Oryzias latipes: one gene and its partners. The protein of the gene in region 1 interacts with the protein of each later gene in a pairwise test. Links are inferred from orthologs where the notes say so. Each region holds a gene or a part of one and is shown in the gene's direction. Other genes may lie near its edges. The genes, in order: gorab, scyl1 and rchy1.

What was found.
Region 2: the proteins of gorab (region 1) and scyl1 interact in a two-hybrid assay, tested with the Homo sapiens proteins (2 studies listed by BioGRID and IntAct). The link is inferred for Oryzias latipes from reciprocal best matches to the Homo sapiens genes GORAB and SCYL1.
Region 3: the proteins of gorab (region 1) and rchy1 interact in a two-hybrid assay, tested with the Homo sapiens proteins (3 studies listed by BioGRID and IntAct). The link is inferred for Oryzias latipes from reciprocal best matches to the Homo sapiens genes GORAB and RCHY1.

What each region holds. Positions count from the first base shown.
Region 1 is NC_019862.2:23,368,770-23,372,952, reverse strand, and holds the start of gorab (RAB6-interacting golgin), read left to right. Parts: upstream 1-1,350; 5' UTR 1,351-1,525; coding exon 1,526-1,580; intron 1,581-1,660; coding exon 1,661-2,003; intron 2,004-2,670; coding exon 2,671-2,772; intron 2,773-2,874; coding exon 2,875-3,015; intron 3,016-4,183.
Region 2 is NC_019868.2:12,321,655-12,326,084, forward strand, and holds the start of scyl1 (N-terminal kinase-like protein), read left to right. Parts: upstream 1-1,557; 5' UTR 1,558-1,687; coding exon 1,688-1,795; intron 1,796-2,371; coding exon 2,372-2,512; intron 2,513-4,149; coding exon 4,150-4,272; intron 4,273-4,357; coding exon 4,358-4,430. UniProt on the Homo sapiens protein: Regulates COPI-mediated retrograde protein traffic at the interface between the Golgi apparatus and the endoplasmic reticulum. Involved in the maintenance of the Golgi apparatus morphology.
Region 3 is NC_019867.2:25,260,646-25,264,295, forward strand, and holds part of rchy1 (RING finger and CHY zinc finger domain-containing protein 1), read left to right. Parts: intron 1-2,820; coding exon 2,821-2,941; intron 2,942-3,204; coding exon 3,205-3,369; 3' UTR 3,370-3,650. UniProt on the Homo sapiens protein: E3 ubiquitin-protein ligase that mediates ubiquitination of target proteins, including p53/TP53, TP73, HDAC1 and CDKN1B. Mediates ubiquitination and degradation of p53/TP53; preferentially acts on tetrameric p53/TP53.

The sequences.
Region 1 (4,183 bases):
AGACATGGCCTGGGACACACGCTCTTACCTTGTCCCTCGTTCCTCCTCTTTTGGGGTTCTTCCCTATGTTGTCGTAGTGACACGTGACACTGTTAATCGCCTGCACAGGGTTGTTTTGAAAGAAGAAAGCTCCAACCACAGACAACATCCCACTGAAGGGCAGCAGAATTTATCTGAGGGTTTCCAGCCAGACAGTCAACTACAAGGCTGTTTGTCTGTGTACTACAAACATGAAAAAGTATGTATTATATTTTATATGGCCTCTCATAGACAGCCTGTCTGTGGACTGTTGTCTCTATAAAAAAAAAAGTTCTTCTTTTCAGAACCCCCCTCGAAAAAAAATGGTTTAATAGTTAAAATAAAAAACAAAATTAAGTCCAGGAATATCTATATTTTCTTGGGAAAAGTAATGATGTATGGATGACGTCCCTTTCATTTCACAGAAGCGCCAACCGTTTGAAAATTGATCATGAACGAAAAATAAATAATTGTGGTTTGAGCTTGAACGGAATCATATGACACCAAGTTTAATATATCGGAATAGAGCTGTGAAAGAAAAAAGCCTTTAGCAAAATTCATCAGATTTTCACCGCTTCAAAATTTCGCACCAAGCCATGTCTGCCACCTGCAGGTGGTGGACATTAGCTAGTAAACAGTGGAAAGAGAAGAAGAAGCCCCTCCCTTTGTCCAGTGTGAACACCAAGGCCTAAGTGGGCGTTCAACAACTGTGTTTAGCAAGTTCTTAAACGCACATTACCTTTACGAGATTTTTTCTTGTAAATTTACGATTGTAAATCTCTTAATATACTTTTTTTTTATTGCTCTAAAACTCGATTGTATGAATGTGAATTCAAGCATGAAATAGTTTTTCTTGTTTTTGCATTCATTTGATTTAAATCTAATTGAAGGTCTATATTGATCTTCTCACAAACAAGAAGAGAGACAAAACTTAGTCCATATTGACACGCCCCTTCCCTTTCCAAAGTAAAATTGAATCATTAAAAAAAGAAAAACTTAAACAAAATTTGGAATATATTTGTCATTTACGTGAGTCCCTTTTTATTTTCTAGTTTTACTAGTATGGTGTTTGAAAATGCCCGCGAGGCTTTCTTTAAAAGAATTATTGAAAAAAACAAAAACAAATAGGAGGTCGGTGGCTATTTAGGAAAGGCTTTGATAAAATTGCCATATTTTTGTGTTCATTAGTGGTCACTATTATTGATGTATTTTGATTTTAAAATGCATTAATTATTTTGATTTTAATTTATATATACATTTGAATAGGGAAATTACATCGTTTCACCTCTGCGTTTAGATTTATACATGTTGCTTTTTTTTTTTGTTCAGGCAAATCTCTGGTCGTAAATCCAGACAATCCTGTTAGGGTCCTTGACGTGGCATTCATAAACAATCATGGCAGACTCTTCAGGAGTTTCTGTAAATTTTGGTCAGAATTTCGGGTTTTTACCGAACTTTATTACACATTCTCTCCCTCGCTGGCTTCTTTAATGTGTGAGGATCCAAAATGAGCAGCTGGGCGGGATTCTCCGATGAGGAGCTGCGGAGGATGCAGCAGAAAGGTAGCGGTATTAATACGGCGAAGGCAGAGCCGGTTCTTCCTGAACTCCATTCACCAAACCGGCATTCATTTCATTCCCAGACTCGGCCAAAGCCGCAGCAGCCGGCCCCGCTCGGAAGACGCCTTCCTCCAGCCGGAGTCGACAGCAGCTGCAACGTGAGAGGCTCCTGCAACTGTCCGTTCAGAAGAGCACTCAGGCTGGAACCGCTGCCCTTCCGGCGGAGCAGAAGCTCCAACAGCCGCCTCCAAAAGAGGAGGTTCAGCCCGCCGCCGGGTCAGGACCTTCTGCTGCTGCTGCTCCTGCCGTCAGACCGGACGGTCCGAATAAAGCCGCTGCAATCCAACCTCATGATGAGAACCATCACGTGACTGCAGAGGAGGAGACCCCAGCAGTCAAAGAGCTGGAGCAACAGGAGGCAGAAGTGTTAGTACGACTTTTTGTTCCTGCACCAACATGACAACTTTTTTTGTTGCAGCCACAACTCGGAGACATATTTCTAATGAACTACTGTTGCAGAAACTATGTCCTAAAAAACGACACGATTTTGGCTAAAAACAGCATAATCACAATTAAAAGACCACTGGGAACACTTTTACAGTAGATCAAAAGATGATCGGAGTGGGACTTTACATGTTGCAGATCAGGGGCTTTGGTAAATGCACTAACCGCCAACACGAATGTGAGTTTACCAAAATAAAAGCTGAAATCTGATGATAAAGAATTCCTGGAGGAACTCCTAAGATTTCTGGCACAGATCAACATCTTTTACATAAAGTCTTTTCACACTGATCAGCTTGATCACACTTTCATGAAAAATTTGTGGACAATTCTATAGCAAAGGGCAAAAAATATTACGGGTTTTTGTATAATTATTGTCACTCTTTACAGTTTAAAAAAAAATCTAAACAAACCGTTTAGAAAATATTCACGTTTTTTCTGTTTGACGCTTCCTCAGATGTTTTGGAAAATGAGGATGCAGGGAAATTGCTCTTACGGTGGATCGTTGAGATTGATTTTATCTTGTATAGTGATTCAGCTCTTCTCCTGTGTTGATTGCAGTTTCTGACACGTTTTTTGTGTCTTTTTCTAGACGAGAAAAGACGCGCCTGGAGCAACTGCAGCAGGATCAAAAGCTCATCGAAGAGAAGAACAAACGTAAAAAAGCTCTGCTGGCAAAAACTATTGCTGAGAAGTGAGCAACGTTTATTTCACTTAAACATTTTAGTGTCAAACAAAACAAAAAAGATTTGCCATGATCTGAAGCAAACTTGCGCTTGTTCGCCATCTACTGCAGATCCAAACAGACTCAAGCTGAGGCCGTGAAGCTAAAGAGGATTCAGAAGGAGCTGCAGGCGCTCGACGACATGGTGTCCAATGACATCGGCATCCTCAGGGGGAAGATCGAGCAAGCCAGCTGGGACTACAGCTCTGCCAGGTACCTACAACCCACCTGAGGTCCTAAAGGACACTTCTGCTGCCCTCAAACCTTCACATTCCCGATTCAGGGCATCACATACATTAGGGATGTCTCCATCAGATTAATTGGGCCCCGACCTGATTCCAAGTCATTGGATTTTGAGTATCTGCCGATACCGAATCCCAATCAGATACTTGTATGAAACATTTAATAAATACACCAATTTAATAAACGGATTCAGGTTGTCCCACATTTTTATTTTATTAAAGCTCTTCTATCATTGAACACTAAAACAGAGCACTTCTGTAAAGTAACCAATCAAGTACAAAATAGTCCAACTATCAACTAGAAACAAATATTTAACTATAAAAAATAGGTGATAATTGTCATGTGTAAAAGTGTGGTGACTGTAGTTTTAGTAACATTTTTTTATCAAATGTGATTCATTTCTGTTAAAAATGTATGAAGATTTTCTTTTTTTAAATCGTTTTTGACACTTAAATATGATGATAATGATTAGCCATGGCGTCATTTTTTAGTTTTGATTGTTTTTGAGACATTATTGATTTTTTTTTTTATCACTTTTTCTGGAGCTTGTGGATGGTCCCTTGGGAGTCGTCTCTGTTTAATTCTCAGTTCTTTTGTTGTTTGCGTTAAGACAAACCAATAGAAAACACTTGCTGTCAGTTTTTAACATTTATTAAGAATTTTTGAGCCCGGAAATCGGAATCTGGGAATATCTCGCTAACTTAACTAAACCTTTTTTTGTGCGCCTCCTGCTCAAACCAGTTCCGTATTCTGCTGCACCTTTCAGCAGTAAAAGGTTTTGATCCTTTCATGATACGCAAACGTTTAGAAGAGTATTTATTTTTATTAAGAAGCCTGAAATATATAGCACTGATTAATATAATAATAATAATAAATACCAGATCACTTATTTGTATACAACAACCGATTGTGCTGATTTCTGAAGAGTTTTTCTGCGGCTGTAACGGGCAAAAAAAAGGCAAAAACAACCTTAAGGCCCGTACACACCGGGACGAATATTCGCCAGGCGTTATTCGCCAGCGTTTTTCGACACGTTTTTTGTGTTCACACCCAGGCGATTTTCGCTGACGAGCCGAGCAAACATGCAATTTCATTCCCTGATATTAGATGGCGCTTAATGTAAACAGAAATACTCCTG
Region 2 (4,430 bases), on another chromosome or scaffold:
TCTCAGATGATCACATGAGAACAAACTTTATTTGAAAGGTTAAATTAGAGCCTCTCAACATACCATTCTATATGTATAACATAAGCTGTCAATAAAGTCACTTAAATGGCATAAGGCAGCTCATGTGACAGTATTTCATCCTCCATCCCTATTAGGCAATTACCTGTAACCCTTCTGTCAATTTGAAAGCAGTGAGAAGAAAAGTGGTTAAGATGAGGCAAAGTTAACCAAGCATTGGTGATTAATTATACTGTTGAGATAAAAACAAAATTCTGACAATGGAAGATGAACTATTGTGCTAGAAGACAAGACAAAACGGAATCAAATGAACTCCAAATGAAGATAAAATGTCAAGGATGAGAAAAGGTAAGCAAAAGGGAGAATATACAAGTGTTTCTTTTGCCTTCTCACAAAAAACCTGACAAAATAAGACGAGACCATTTCTTACTATTAGAAAATGAGTGGATAGCAAACTAGGACATTCAATAAATTCAATATTTTTTCCAGGTAAAAATACTGCTTATAAAATAGATTTGTTTGACTTTTAAATGTGATTTCACTTTTTAAATGTTAATCAAAACATTTGAATTATTAACATTGATGCGGTCTAAAAGTGAATCATTGAAAGAGTTATTCGATGGACATGTTACCCTAGGTAAGGATTTTTTTAAATGGTAAACACAACCACTACAGAGAAACACATCCTATAGCTAAACAAATGACTGAAAAAACAACCCCACAAAGGTTAATAATGTCTAGCAGAAACTGCTTATATTTGACATATTCTTGCATTAGGAGGAACCCAGGGCCAATCACACCAGCATATGGTCTCAAAAGGGGTCTGACAATGCAGTCAGGTAAAGCGTGGACAGCCTTCCAAAGAAATGCCACCTAAAACTATTGACTGTCTGCCAAACCGGACATACTGCAGGCGGCAGAACATTCTCCGTGGCGTCTCCAGGCTCTGTCACATCTGTCACTTGAGTACCGTACACATCTGTGTGGTAACCTTTGTTTACTCTCTGCAGGTCGGTCACTAGGTCCCCCCAAGTATTAATGGGACTTTTGCTCACTATTCTTGTCGTTTTGTATGTCTTCCATTTCCTGATAATTGCTCCCACCAAGCTGCTTACTTGCCTGTTGCAGATTCAGTCTTCACAGCCTGGTGCAGGTCAGCAATTTTGTTTCTGGTGTCCTTGGACAGCTCTTTGGTCTTGGCCAGAGTGGAATTTGGAGTGTGACAGTTTGAGGTTGTGGACAGGTGCCATTGATACAGGTAACGAGTGAAAAACAGAAGGTCCTCTTACAGAAAAAGTTACAGGTCTGTGAGAGACAGGAATCTTGCTTGTTTGTAGGTGACCAAATACTCCACCATAATTTACCAATAAATTCTTTTTAAAAAATCAAACTATGTGATTTCCTGGATTTCCCCACTCATTTTGTTTCTCATAGTTGACGTTTACCTATGATGAAAATTGAAGGCCCCTCTCATCTTTTTAAGTGGGTGAACTTGCACAATTGGTGGCTGACTGAATCCCCCCCCACTGTACAAGACACGACCGACGTCAGCATGCGGAACCAACGCACAGTAACAACGTTTCTTCGGAAGCATTTCCCATCTGCGCTATCCTTAAACCTAGCCGCAGCTTGAAGCTTCCCTCTGCTGTTGTGTGGAGGTAAGGCGAAAATGTGGTCCTTTTTCGCCAGGGATCCAGTCAAAGACTTCGGATATGAAATTCTCCCAGACAGCCCAGAAAGGTCCGGGATTTGGAGTCTACATCGAGGAAAACGGAAGGTGAAAGCGGCTTGACTAATTTTTCGAGAACGAGTTAGCGTTAGCCCCACTGATGCGATGGTGGCCTCTACGAGACACGAATGAAAAATAAGGAAGAATTATAGCGTGCTGCGGGTTTTTAGATGCTATTTGTGTGATATAAGCCATGTGCCTCCCACTCTTGTTCTCAGGTTTTTGTTTTTTGTATATTCTTTTAAGCGGACCTTATTGTTTACACAGACAGTCGCGCATTTCTCGCCACGTCACCCAGTTTTAGCGGAATTAAAACATCTTTTTAATCTGTTAAATTAATATAATAACATCACACATTATGTTGACACGGATTTTTTCTGTGTCGTTTTTAATTAATACAACATAGTGTTAATTTATTGTCAGCAGTTGTGCGATGGTCATCCTTTCAGGAAACAGGATCAGCAGGCGCTCGCGCGTCAACTTCCTCGTCTTAACGTCATCTCGTTTTATGCTGTCATGTTTGACCAAAGAATGTACATAAAGTACCACGTGCGTGGCAGCTGTCAAGCGGATATGGCTTGCTAATAATTTGTTGAACTTGGCTGTCCGGACCTGTTGTCTCAGACCTCTGGAGAGCCCGTGTCCGTGTTCGTGTACGAGGTGTCCCAAGGAACAGAGCAGCAGACGCAGCTCGCCAAGGCGGCCTTCAAACGAATGAAGACTCTGCGGCATCCCAACATTCTGGCTTATGTGGACGGCCTGGAGGTATTCCCTTCAATGGCATGTTCTTGGTTGCTTTTGTTAAGGTGTTCTTTGCCTGTGTTTATCCGTGTACCATCTACTTTTTTCTTCTGCATGCAATGCACATGACTAGATGGAGGTGAGTGAGTGTGAGGAGGTTTGATTATTAGTGTAGTACCACACACACACACACACACACCTATCTAGATGTGATTTAGAGAAACCAATAAAAAGCCGGAAAGATGGTTATAAAAAAAACATTCTGCATAGACTACAATCCCCTTACATTAAAAGTTTTTCATGTCCACTTTATTAGTTTTCATATTGTACAATATTCCTTCTTTGTGTCTGTTGAAACCCAACATAGAGTATGAAACATTTACTGTATATGAGACCTGGACGGAGTATTTCTCCCTGGTGGCGTTCCAAACAGGAAGGACCTGCTCAAACCCCATAGACTTCTATTGAGACATGAACAGCCTTTACTCGATCTTTATATTTGCCAGGTTACATTCTTCTTCAGCCAAGAAGGTGAAACATAAAGAAATAAATGAACCGGACTGGAGGGGATGTGATTCAAGACCCACTCCAATGAAAACTGTGTTTTTAACATGTCAGGACGATGGAGGACATAAATAAATAAATTTAAGGTTAAAATTACATTTCTCAGTATTTCTTTATTCAAATCCCTTTTAATCTGCAGCAGACAATAAACACCTGTTTGAAAAGATTGTATTTGCTACGTAGAAAATACGGTGGGTGGGCCACAAGTTCTCTGCTGCTCCATTCTAATGGATCCACTTGTAGATTAATAGATTCTTATACGTTTTGGTTTTCCTTGTCTGAGCTAGTATCTGGCTCAAAACTGCACGGCTGGACAGCTCCAACATTGCTCACCATTCCTGTTGCATCTTTAATGTCAGGTTGGGGTTGTGAGGGTATGTTGGCTAGCGGAGAGAGTGTAAACAGAGAGCTTGGATGATCCTGTCCACAACTTAGAGGTGAATTTCTAATGAACAACTCCTGCGCTGCAGAAACCAAGGCCCACAACAAAGAGGATGAGAGCTCGGGGTTCACACAAACAGTAGGCAGGCGGATCACCAGAATGGGCGTAACAAAAGCTGCCGCCTTTGCAGAAGCACAACAGTTCTTTTAATCGGTTAAGGATCCATTGTCATGGTCCGACTGCATGGTATCATGTGCGCCAGGCGTAGGAGTCAGGGCCATACACGGTTGCAGCTCCCAGCTTCAATAGATACAGGGAGATGTCTTCACCCCAGCCTCACCTACTTGTGGTTGTTACACCAAGGGCCAGAACAAGAAATGTAGAAAAATATAAAAAAGAAAATTTTTAATTTGTTGAAAACCAAGAACGTGAAAACAAATATTTAAGAATTTTTAGTATCCGCTGTGTTGGTTTTTGCTGTCAATAGGAAGGTAGAGATTTGACGCCTGCAGCTCTGTGTTTTAAGATATATTTTTTCACCTATGTAAGATTAGTTTACTATTATCAATTATTCACAAGCTTCAATCTTGTTTTTAATCCACATTACTGAAGAAAAACCTCGACTCTAATATGGTGAATGTCTGGTAAATGTGTTTCCCAATTTCTCAGTGAGTAGTAAGTCGATTTTTTTTTTTCTTTGTGTTGGTTCTTACAGACAGATAAGAGCCTGTATCTGGTAACTGAGCAGGTCACGCCTCTAGCCGTCCACCTGAAGGCGCAGACAGAAAAAAGTGGTGTTGGGGAGCTGGAAGTGTCCTGGGGTCTGCACCAAATAGTGGTAAGAAAAAGACAACACACCATCAGAAATACATTCTAGCTCAGTTGTAATTTTGCAGTGATTCCTCCCCCTCGTTTCTTCACAGAAAGCACTGAGTTTTCTGGTGAATGACTGCCACCTGCTTCATAATAACATGGGCATATGGGCCATTTTTGTGG
Region 3 (3,650 bases), on another chromosome or scaffold:
AAAATATATAATAACACAGATCATACTAAGGGGGAGAAGAATATTAAAACTAAATTGAATGTTAAGGACAACTCCAACTGTTGTCCTTCAGTCTTGCTGCAGATTCACCTTCATCTCACAGACCCCCCCCCCCCCCCCCCCCCCCCCCCGCCTGGTCTCCCCAACAATCCAGGCGAGGTGCCGGTTCATCTCAAACACGTCTATCGTTGCATTTTCACCACGTATTTTCAGTGTGTCTAAAACTAATGTTGTTTTTGCTCGAGCGTGTTTAAAGTTCAAGCCCCGTTAGCTGTCACGCATGTACGTGAGGGACATTTATTCTCCTCAGCTGACCCGACTCCCGCGGGACGGGAGCGGTGTGCTGCCGTAACCCGTAAGATGCGCCGCCGTAACCAAAACCTAAACCTTACTACGGGTCTGTGTGACCCAGAGAAAAGTTCAGCACGGACTGCATGTATTTAGAAAATTACGAGCGAATAGATACGTTCTAAAAAGGAAAGTAAGGAACCCTCAAGAGTCATTTATTCCACTGTGATTGGTTGGACATCTCCGTGCACGACGATGAAAAAGTGTCATTCATACAAACTGGCGGGCTGCAGTAACATTAAACTTTCATACTAAGGCGCAAAATATCATCTTGGAGAGCGCAAATAGCCCGCGGGCCGCGAATTTGAGACCCCTGTCACTTGTACACTAGCCGCAGGTCGGAAGAATGAATCAATAGTTCACTTACTCATAGCTCAGACGCACATATCAGGTTGTGATGATATTTGTCTGTTTCCTTCCCACAGATGTTTACGCGCGCTCGATTATCTCTAGGCCCCGCCCCCTCCACGCATTTTAGCCACTGTAAGTGGCTTTCCCTTTCTTTTCACACGCAGTGGCCGACTCACAGACAGGAATCACTCAATGAAACGCGAGTGTGTGCTCGCGTTTTAATGAGTATGTGCGCGAGTGTGTAGGTCTGCCTGCGTGCGTGTGCGCTCGCGTCTCATTGATTATTTCATTGATCATTGACGTGCCCCTTCTACGTTTGATGTATAAAAAAATGGAGGGTGGGGGAGGCAAATTTACTGGTAGCACATGTGCGACTGGATGTAAAATTCAGTCGCACAATCTCAAATTTTGGTCGCAAAATGCGACCAATTGGTCGCAGTCTGGAGCCCTGCAAGATATTCCTTTATGTAAAAGACGCCCATAAAAAAACAAACATGCTTTGAGACTTTGCATCTTGAAAATAATCACGGGATCCGTGGCACACGCATGTGCCAAAACGTGGCTAGTGATCTGTACCCCTAATGCACAGTATTCATTATTGCTGATGTCCAGTCAGCAGATATTCATGCATATATTGTCTTTTAACAATGTCCAACATTAAACCGTTTTGTATTCAATAGACATAATTTAACAATTGAGAGCGATTACAAATTGCACGGACTCTAAGCAAAAAAAAAAGGTAGTTCATTTCCAGAAATGCTCTATTTAACAAAAAACTCTAAAAGTGTTAATTAATCAACCAAAGACAGCCTTACTTTGTTCAGCTGTTTTCTAATGCAAACACTGGCTTTTGGTTGTTGCTTTTGCTGCGTGTGCTCATTCTGAATTGAACTTTTATTGTCATTACATGTAAGTTGTTGAGCAATGCTGATGTCATGCTTGGCAAGCAGATGATTTTGGCACAACACCGGGACATTTTGTAACACCGGTTGCTACAGGGAAGCATGTGTAAAAGTTGTGAGGGAGGGGGGCGATTTACAGCAGTGGTCATGATGACAGACACCAGCACTGGTCTGTGGGTCGACTGCTACTGGATCCCAGAGAGAATAAATAATTCACATTATTTCTATTTTCTTTATAATCGGATTCTAACGAATGTTTTATTTTGGAGATTCTCTTGATGCATGTCAGGATGCTGTCCTCACTCGTGTCTTACATAAATCAACCTTCTATTCAAGGTGCTGCTAGTACCACACAATCAACATCATTGATAAACTCACACCCCCAAGCTAGCAAGGTAGACAAAAACGAGCGTCTTCATAAAGAATAGTATATGACTTTAAGGGAGAAGAAAGTTTAACAGACAGAAAACAGGATTTCTACGCAAAATGTGGATTTATTACCACAGTTGTTCCAATACATGTAAACTTGTTCTGCATAATACTCGACGATCGCCTCTCTGTTATAAGGATGCTGCTTAAAAAGTTTAAAACACAGTGAACTTTTATTACATTTAGAAAATACTGCTTTCTAGGTTATCATTTTATTTTTGTTATATTTCTCTTGCGCACCTTAGAGTTTACCACAAACAAATATTGTCTGACATGAAGCTAGTCTGTGGTGTAAAAAAAAATGTTAAAGGGTTGTTTCTTTAAGCTGCAAATGGACCGCTATGCTGAGAGTCTATATGGAGAAGTATGTTGCAGAGACACTGATGTGTTCACCGTCATATAATCAAGTAGCACAAATCAACCAGTTAAAATGTATTGCCAAAAATGAACATATGATTTTTATTTTTTTACATTTCTCATAAAATATTGTCTGTTTCTGTGTATTCTTAATCAAATCTAGTGCTATTGCTTATTTTAAGGCTTCTGTATGTACATTTTTTAAAGACAATTTTAGCTGTGTTCACTAATCTAGTCTTCTGCTCATTAATCAAAAATATTAGCTGCTTGTGAGGAAAGATGTTTTTTTTTCCTTCATCTACAGTCTTAGTAGTAGTAAAATATTAGGATTGATGCTAAGTTTGATCATCTGTATACATCTATGGTGTTGAGTTATTTAAAAGGGTCCTGGCTTCCTGTGCTCTGCATGTTTCAGCGTCCACCGCTGCCCCCTGTGCATGCGGTCTGCTTGGAACCTGGACTACCACTGGAACTTGCTTGACAAAGAGATTGCTCAGACACCGATGCCCTCTGAGTACCAGGATGCCACAGTCCAAGTAAGGCTATGGAAACCCCCTCACTAAATTAGAAAACAAAACTATTTCCATGGACAAATTAGAAAAAAACAAAGGTTGAAAAAAAAAGTAGAGCTTATTTTTGGCACTAAAGCCTCAAAGTTCTCTGCTATGCCTCTGTGGCATCCCAGAGCAAAACTATTTCTCTGCAGAATGAATCAAATATTTAGTTTCTGTCTACTTTTCTAAGTTGCAGAAATGTTTAAGTCAATTCTTTTTTCTTTTTTTTTTCTAAATTTTAATAGGTGATATGTCATGATTGCCAAACCCACTGCACGGTCCCTTTCCATGTGTTGGGGCTGAAGTGCACAGGCTGTGGCTCCTACAACACCGCACAGGACGGAGGGCTAATGTGGCAGCAGGAAGGGCAAAACCTCCAGGATGAAGGAGAACCAGAGCAGCAGGACTAGCCTGGATGACATCTGTCACTCTGGAAATGTATACAAAGTGACACTCTGTTGCTACACCTGTCACCTGTATTTTTTTGACTCGCTCAGAACGCAGACTGAGCCAATGTTTGTCCATAATCCATCTATCTCGTGGACCTGATGTCACTCGTCAGGGCTGGAATCGATCCTAGGATGCAGCTGTCGAGGACACACTGGCCGGTCAGTTGGAGCGCTTCCACACGGACGCAGACAAGTCAGTTTATCTGATCTGCATGCCTTTTAGTCTGTGACAGGGAACCCAT